Neurospora crassa OR74A: one gene and its partner. The protein of the gene in region 1 interacts with the protein of each later gene in a biochemical or structural test. Links are inferred from orthologs where the notes say so. Each region holds a gene or a part of one and is shown on either strand. Other genes may lie near its edges.

Evidence for each region.
Region 2: the proteins of NCU01695 (region 1) and NCU02661 form a complex in vitro, tested with the Schizosaccharomyces pombe proteins (2 studies listed by BioGRID). The link is inferred for Neurospora crassa OR74A from reciprocal best matches to the Schizosaccharomyces pombe genes seb1 and rpb7.

The regions. Positions count from the first base shown.
Region 1 is NC_026502.1:2,700,345-2,704,632, forward strand, and holds the start of NCU01695 (RNA binding protein Nrd1), read right to left. Parts: upstream 2,812-4,288; 5' UTR 1,849-2,811; coding exon 1,720-1,848; intron 1,644-1,719; coding exon 1,398-1,643; intron 1,185-1,397; coding exon 1,082-1,184; intron 991-1,081; coding exon 1-990. UniProt on the Schizosaccharomyces pombe protein: Involved in the processing of pol II transcripts.
Region 2 is NC_026501.1:3,099,553-3,103,555, reverse strand, and holds NCU02661 (DNA-directed RNA polymerase II polypeptide), read right to left. Parts: upstream 2,655-4,003; 5' UTR 2,082-2,654; coding exon 1,833-2,081; intron 1,765-1,832; coding exon 1,684-1,764; intron 1,606-1,683; coding exon 1,436-1,605; intron 1,371-1,435; coding exon 1,355-1,370; 3' UTR 510-1,354; downstream 1-509. Other genes in the region: NCU02660 (DUF962 domain-containing protein), read left to right, coding at 3,545-3,577, 3,726-3,809, 3,881-4,003.

The DNA.
Region 1 (4,288 bases):
GTTTGACCCATTTCTCGGAGGGCGGCTCCTGACCCGGGCTCTCATGTCTACGGTTGGGGGGCGACCGTTGTCGGTACTCGGGAATACGCATATCCCGGTCTCTACCACGATCATCCGGATGGCCACGGGGCGGGGTGCTCCGCCCATAATCAAAGCGATCGTTACCGCGGGCTCGAGGCGACCCCCTGACATCCCAGCGCCGCGGCGAGCGTGAGCGAGAGCGACCCCGAGGCCTATTTGGAGACCTCATCCCATCATGATAGCCATTACGATCACGTGATTCATCATGTCTCACGGCCTCCCATGCAGGGGCAGCAGATACACCGCCAGCAGGGGGAGGAGGAGGATAGCCGGCATATAGAGGCTGAGCAACGGACTGGGGAGGTGCTGCCGGGGCGGTGCCACTTGGTTGACCCATCAGCTGCATTACACTGGCAATCTTGTCAAGAGGGATGCCCTGGGCGGCGAGGGCGGCGAACAGCTGAACCGTCGTAGCGGTATTCGCACTAGGGGCTGCTCCTGGCACTTGCACAGGCTGAGCTAGCTGTGCGGCCGGAGCTGGGAAGCCAAATGGCATCGTCGGTGGCATGTTCACCGACTGCCCCGCCGGCTGCGATGCTGATAAGTACGGCATACCCGGGTGCCCCACACCGGGAAGAAATCCGGCTGGCAATGCTCCATTGCTAGGCTGGCCAGAAGTAGCAAACATGGGATGCGGCGTGGAAGAAGTAACAGGAGGAATCTGCGGGACCCCCATTTGTACCGGAGAAGGGGCCACAGCCGCAGTTGCGGCCGGGGCGGGAGCAGGGGCGGCCGCGCTGGAATTACTCTGAGCCGCATTCGCATTCAAGCGGGCAAGATTTGCTAAGGTCTCCAGGATGTTGGACGGCATTACGGCGGTAGTTGTAGGCGTAGGGAGAGGTCTGCTAGTGGCCTGCAAGGAAGCCAGCGGGTTGGGAGGGGGACTGCCTGGTGGTGTTGTCGAGACATCTATCGGCACACGCTACAGTTAGATCAGGCAAACAACGAGCACCGCACACGCGTAAGGGAATATGCTTAGGAGGATCCGGGCAAAACCTACTGTGCTGTTGATGAGCATTCAGCTTCTCCTTGAAGGTGTTGACCATATCGGGAGGAAACGTCTGGCCCTTTTCCCATATGTCGACCAGCTTCTTGATCTTCTCCTACAAGACGATACGGGTGTGAGTTTATGAACAACATGATACTGGACACTAAATACAACCAAAAATGGATGCACGATATGGTCTAGGAAAGTGAAGACGACTGGTGTGGCCTGATCTTACAGCCGCTCCCAAGTGTGCTCGGGGTCTAGTCCGTTTGGCAGAAATGGAGGTATAAGTGTAAGACGGCACATGAGTGTGCGGTTGTGTGCGTACCTTTTGATCCTCGGGGGCCGAAGAGATGATGGCGTTCATGAACATGGGCATTAGTTCAGTCACTCTATGGACACCGGCAGCATAGGTGCCATCCTGTGCACCAAGGGTGACGGGTTGTTCAAGGGCCTTTGCCTTCTCCAACCATTTGCGGGTTACAGAATCTACGACGTATAGGACGCCCAGCTTGTGAGTGTTTGGTGTCTTCTTGTAGTGGGTATATAACTTCTGAACCAGCTGTGATTCGTACTGTCGAAGGATGTGTGGTTAGCTCTGGTGCCTCCATCGTGCATACTGTCGAGCCCAGACACGGCGCTTTTCTTACCTGGACGTTGTTCAAACACAGCATGGTGAGGCTATTGATTTTCGAGCCAGAGACACCGGGCGGTTTCAGGTTTTGCATGTCCCCGAGGCCCTTCTCTAGTTCAGCTACGGCCGCCTGTGACGACAACATGATGGATGATTTTTGTTTGAAAATCGAGCAAGACCAGCTGAAGTCGGCAATCAACTTGGCCGTTGGGCTTGGAAATACAAGCTGCGATGTAGTACGGTTGTGATACGGTGAAGGCTGATTAAAGGTTTTATGCCAATACCATGCTCCTTTGTCACGGGTGGAAAGACGGAGTACGTTGATTAAGGCTCAAACAGGTCGGCATCCAAGGTCTGCTTTCCTTGCTTCTCGACGTATATCACCGAGGTTACGAAGCTGCAATTTGCCCGCGCCACCGGGTACTCAGAAGAGAGCAGCTTGTACGAAGAGACTGTCCTTTCTGTGCGTCTTAAGACAAGCGCAGAAGCCGTAGGCCAGTGCAAAGTCCTAGCAAAAAAAAGAGAAGCCGAGAGGCCAGAGATATATGTTGCTGGCCGGCGTGTGTGCGAGCAAGAATACGGTGGTCCTTTTTATTTTTCTGACGTGACGCGCGAAGTGGAAACCACCAACTGGGGATAGCTGTGACGACGTGCAAGAACCGCAACGAAAGCAGCTGTACGAAGGGCAGACAAGATCAGGACTTGACCTGCGCGGATGTGATCTGGGCGCACCCTTTTACTGTGAGGCTACTAGAAAGTGAGAAAATCCAGGTGAGCGTGTGCTGAGTCGAGATGCATGGACAAATCCTGGGCGACTAGTCGATTACTGGATTGCTGGATTGACGAAGGCGGTCTCCGTTGGCGTTTAAGATTATTTTCGCTGATGACGACAAAAGCGTGATGTGGTGGTGATGCGAGAAGTGAGGAGGGAGTTGGGGTTGGAAAGCGGGGAGAAAGAAAAGTTGTCGTTGCAGAAGTAGAAGAAGTGGACTGGACGGGGGAGTGCCAGTGGTCGGTGGTTGGTGCAGGTATGGGTGGGTACTCGGCTGTAGTGGCTGCCCTGATCTTGACTCTGCTCGAGTCGTCTGTCGGGTTCGATTGCATCCGTTCGTCGCTTCGGTTTGCCTGCCCTGCTGCCTGTGTGCTGTGCTGCTGTGGCACCGTGGCTGTGATGCGTGGCCCGAGGGGAGGAACGAACTGGCAGGCACTTTTTCGAGCCACCCAATCACGCCTTGATTGGTTCGAATGACCCGCCTCGAACTGTTGTGACTGAAGGCTCGGAAAACCTTCTTTTTACAAGCAAACGAAAGCCTTGCAGAGAGGTGTCGGACGTGTTGTGGCCTGACGCACGTACCAAGAGCATGAGGCACTAAGGCAACAAAGCCGAGACGGATTGCGGTAAATTAGGAACCCCAACCGTTGATCCACATCCAACCTGAGATTGGATGAAGCCCTTACTGGAGTCGGTTGCGTGCTCCATCCGACTCTCCATGCAACCCCGAAGGTTCCACGAACATTGATGATGAGCGTTGAGTGTCGAGGACGTGCTAGGGAACAGATTGTGCAGGCGGGTTCATCTATTATCAATCCGTCCATCAATTGGCAATTCCAACATTGTTTTCTGGAAACCCGGAGCAGGAACGTTTCCACACCTGTCAAAAGGGGCGGCTTCCCCGGATGAGTTAGGGATCTCGCAAGGGCCAAGTACATACCTAGGTAGTCCCAAAGGCCCAAAGGGTGCCGTGACGTCAATGCATGCCGGTGTCGACATCGATGCGAGTGAACAAGCAGTTTTGACATCGCGATGTTGAGGTCTGGTCTGACAACCGCTGTCCCTCGAGACACATGCGATTGCAGAGACGCGCACATGATGTCGGTGCCGCAAGTGTTCAGCGTGGTCGTGTCCAGGTATTCTTCCGGTCTTCCGTCGTCGGCCATCCTTTTACCGCGCGCATGGACGGGAGGAGACTTGGGAACCGAAACACACGTGTGGGAGCCGCCCCGCGTTCGATCCTTAGAACGGCGTCAGCGACCCCCTGACCCGCTCGAGCTCGGCAGCTCGGCCAAGCTACCTCCACGTACATCCGGATAGAAACATTGAACCTTTGGCCCGCAGAGTTCCATGTTCAGCTTCATGATCCAAATTGACCACATTCAGGGCCGGATATTGTATCCATCAAAAAACGGAGATTTGGCGCCGGCCTCTACGGTGATTACGGTGTGGGCTTCTCCAGTCTCATACTCGCGGATTCGCGAGGGAAGAGGAGCATCTGCCTGTCTACGAGTCGGCCATTGTGGATCAAGCAGCGTGTCGTGTCACGAGCATCGCGGCCCGGTGTATTGTACAATACAACAACTTCGTGAGAGAACTGGCCCGAACACCCCGGTCCACTGGCCCGAGCAGAGTGGGAGCCCCGCCTATTTGCTCCCGCCCGTGAACATTATTGGATCCAATTGGCACTGGCAATTGCGGGCAATTCGCATCCAGTCGGGGCAGGCCAATCCCCCGGCAGGAGCGACGGGAGCAGAGCCCGCCAAAGCCACCTAACGGACCTCTGGACCTGCCCTGGTTCGCTGGTTGCGAC
Region 2 (4,003 bases), on another chromosome or scaffold:
CCTTCTTTCTTTGGTGTTTGATGCCCACACCCCGATTCAACTTCTCGCCTCCGCTTTACTTCATTCTGGGGATTTCTTCACACCGATCTGGCCCCCACTGTTACCCCCTTCTGCTCTAGTTCGCCCGACGTATTTCGGCCATACTATTCTTCCACAAAGTCAAGAGATATCGTAGCCTCACGATGGACAGGTCACCGGCCAAACGTTTACTGCATAGTATCAACTCGACGACTTAGTGGATGAACCTCCCCCCTTGTCGTTTTATTCTTTTCCCCACGTCTTCACTGCTGCGTAACCCCCGCGCTTCGTTGAAGATTATGGAACCATTGAGATATGGTGCTTCAAGGTCCTTGTAAATGTTGCGGGAGGATCGTAGATGGGCACGCACCAAGTTGTCAGCTTGAAATGGGAGGTTTCCCCCCACGGCAACTGAGCCATCACAACATCCCACCTCGTTGGGTACCATCACATGGTATAATAGCCCGAGACTGAATGCTTCCTAGTCAAGACGTTCAGGAGATAGACCGGGGAGTCGAGTTTATGAGCCAAGCGAGTGCTGCGGTGTCTCTTATACTGTCTTTGCTCATGGTAACTGAGCACCTTAGCTGAACAAGGATTATTCCCTCTAAGTACAATCGCGCGAGATGCCCTCTGTGGTATCGCAGACAGTCGTTTTTTGTTGGTCAGTCTAAGCCAAGCACCCGAGAACCTTGAGGCATTGTACCCGCAAAACTCTGAAGACATCATCATGTGCCCATGTATTAAGAGCGACATGTCCTCCATGTCGCAGATACGTCGATAATGTCAGTTACCCAAATACCAGTAATCACGCTCAAACACAGAAAGCATGCTGCAAATACCTCAAAAAGAAAAAACCGTCAATAGACTCCAGGCGCCGCTTGTGGCCCCAATAATGCCTCAAAACGCCACAGACAAAGGTTTTACGCACCCCAAGCAAATCATGACAAAAATACCAACCCCGTTGAGTCTCATTCGGACGAGACATCTCCTTGAAAGCCCTTGAGCGTGTTACCGCCGCACTCCCGCGTGCAATACAACAAGGGGCTCGATCATATTGCCGCCCACGCGCTGCTAAGGGGCAAACATGATCCTTCATAAACCGCCACAGAGATCCTGAAACGGCCCTCGATACGGATGGCTTTCAGCATTGCCCAGAAGACTTGCTTCTTGACCGGGCCAGAGGCTTCATCAGCCGACCAGAACTGTTGATGTAAACCCAGGGTATACTCTAACTCGTGGCTTCACTAGGATTCTGTTGAGCGAGTACCTCGTAGTAGTTGAGCGAGTCCAAACCCTTCGTTTGGGAATGACCTTCTTGCATCTTGCAAGTCCCTTATGCTTGCAGACACCTGGAAAGGAAGAAACTGGTTAATAACAAACAGCACAACCACGCCGCTAAGACGTGGAAACTCACCCAAGGAAATCTCCGTTGATGCTGCCAATGGCATACATCTCACCCAATTCCGTTCTTAAGCCACCAATCTTGACGCGCACGTGCGTACCGGGCTCAATGACCATATCAGCGTTATTGGTAAACTGAGGAGGCGTCGCGTTGGGGTCGAAGTGGATTTCTTCGGGCATCAGCTATAGTTCTCTTGTCAGCGATCGAAGTTCGAGGGCATCGTATGTGCGTATCCAAAAAGACCGTAGGCGTCATCGTACGTGAGATGAAACGAAGATGGAGAGCGGGCCAGCTTGGCAGAAGAAGCCGTGAGGATTGATGGAAAAGACAATAGCATCCACCTGTAGGGACTCCTCGTTAGACCATCCGAACGGAGAGAACACCACCGAGAATCTTCGCTGTAACGAACCACTTCGCCTTTGAACGGCCTCCAAACCACAGCACGGTACTTCACAGTGAACTCGGCCAGGCCGTTTCCGGGGAGGATGCGGCCCTCGCTAACGTCGAACGCATCCATGATGGCAATGATGTAGTAATCACCGGCACACGTCCCTTCCACGTCCTTGACCAATTTGGTCGTGACAAGTTCGTGCATGTTCCTGCCGAAATAGGATGGATGCAGGGTAACCCGCCGCTCGAGGTTATGGAGGAAAAACATTGTGGCGGGTTAGTACTGTGGGATCGGGGTGTCGTCGGCTGAAAGTGGGCGTCGATAAGACGATGCCCTGGAGAGGTTATGCGCCTCGGGATGCCTTCGCGCGGCTGTCGTGTCGAGGGGTGCGACGGCGGCGGCAGTGCTGTCGAGACTTGGGCAATTGAAGTCGCGTGTCGGGACGAAAATGACAGTGAGGGCGAGATGCGAAAATCGACAGCAAGAATGTTGGTGTAGGGATCGTGTCGAAGGTGATACTTGGTTTTGTGGGGAGACGTCGTGACGGGAGAGCAAGGCTGACGGAATACACTAGATATCGACTATGATGGAACAAAAGCTTGGAGGTTCTGGAAGTGGTAGCCTCCAACACAGAGACCGCCGCAGACGCGGTTTCGGGACTTTGCCTTGCGAGCTTGGCCTGTCACTCGTCCCTTGACGTTTAGCACATGGCTCGTGCACAATCTGCAAGGAACAGCACTGACCACACGGAAGCGGTCTTGGCGCTGCCGGGATTCGGTGTTGTCCACAACTTCAACACCAAATATCCCAATTCCATCATATCATTCAACCAGACCAGGCATAAGATGCTCGTTGTAAGGCTTGTGAAATAATCTGCTGTACTATCATGTAGCGGGTTTTTCTTAAGGGAGTGTGTCTTCTACCAGCCCCCAGCGTTCCTTAGTCGTTCATGTAGCTGTAAGCTCGAGTAAAGGTACCATGGCTCATGCCGTTTCAACATGTGACAAAGACAGACTGTCGAATGATGTCTAAGAAGGAAGATTCGAATGGCCACAGCAAAGACAGTATGGTGGTTCGAGAAGCCAAAAGATGAGAACGCTCATAAACAAGACTTGAAACGGGTAACTCACGATTGATCACCTTTCTTACACCACAGCTGTTGGCCTTCCACTTTAGGTTGTGACGTTAACGTTCGTTGACCGAGAGGTAACCGCGTCGGTAGGAGCACCGACAGAGGCGGGGCACGTTCGGGTCCTGTCAGCATGCGTTTGATAGCGCTGTGGCCGTCGAGTTGGAGGGTTTGCGGGGGTGGGCCGGCCGGGAGCCTTAACAGGTTCCCTTGTTCCTGTTGATGGCGACTCCACAACCGAGGCATCCACACGTAGCTTTTAGCCCTCTGAGAATATGAAGATGGATATGCGGAGTGGAACACCAGACAGACTCCCACATCACCAGATCCCGCCGCTCTCTGGTCTTCATTAGCTGCACGCTCTGCTTTTCGAACACTACCAATTCCACCTGTTGCTCGTTTATACACATGTGGCAGTGATTCATTTCCTCTCTTCACTGGTCGCCCTCGACGCAACTCGACTTGTCATCTACTGTCGCTCTCCTGTCTCGGGTCTCACGGAACTGAGCGAGATCTCGCCATCCATTCACACCCTGAACCTCAAGGCTGTCTACAGCACCAACCTAATCATACCGGGCAAATCCGAAGCATCACTTTCACCATGTCCCTCAACCTAGAAAAGCAACTCACCTTTGTAAGCTTTGTTGCCTGAGTTTACCAAGCTCTAACCTACATGCTCCAAGTCGGCCTGCTCGGGCACCCTTGCTTGTTTCGTCCACTTCACCTCGCTCGAAATTCACGAACTGGAGCCTTTTGCTAACTTGTCCTCTCCCTGCTTGCAGTATGGTGCTTACCACTCTAATCACGTTAATGTAGTCATCCACATGATTTGTGTGCCTTTAATCCTCTTCTCAGCCTTTGAAATTGTATGAATTCTTGAACCACTTTCCCTCGTCCCTAGCGACATGTTCTCACACGCCTCATGCTTCCAAACTAGGCCTCCAATTATGGACCATTCTTCACACTCCCCTCCTGGCTTCAGGTACCGTACCTAGAGCCAAACCTGGGCACCTTTGCGGCTCTGACATGGGGCGGACTATACGTTCTCCTCGAGCCGGTC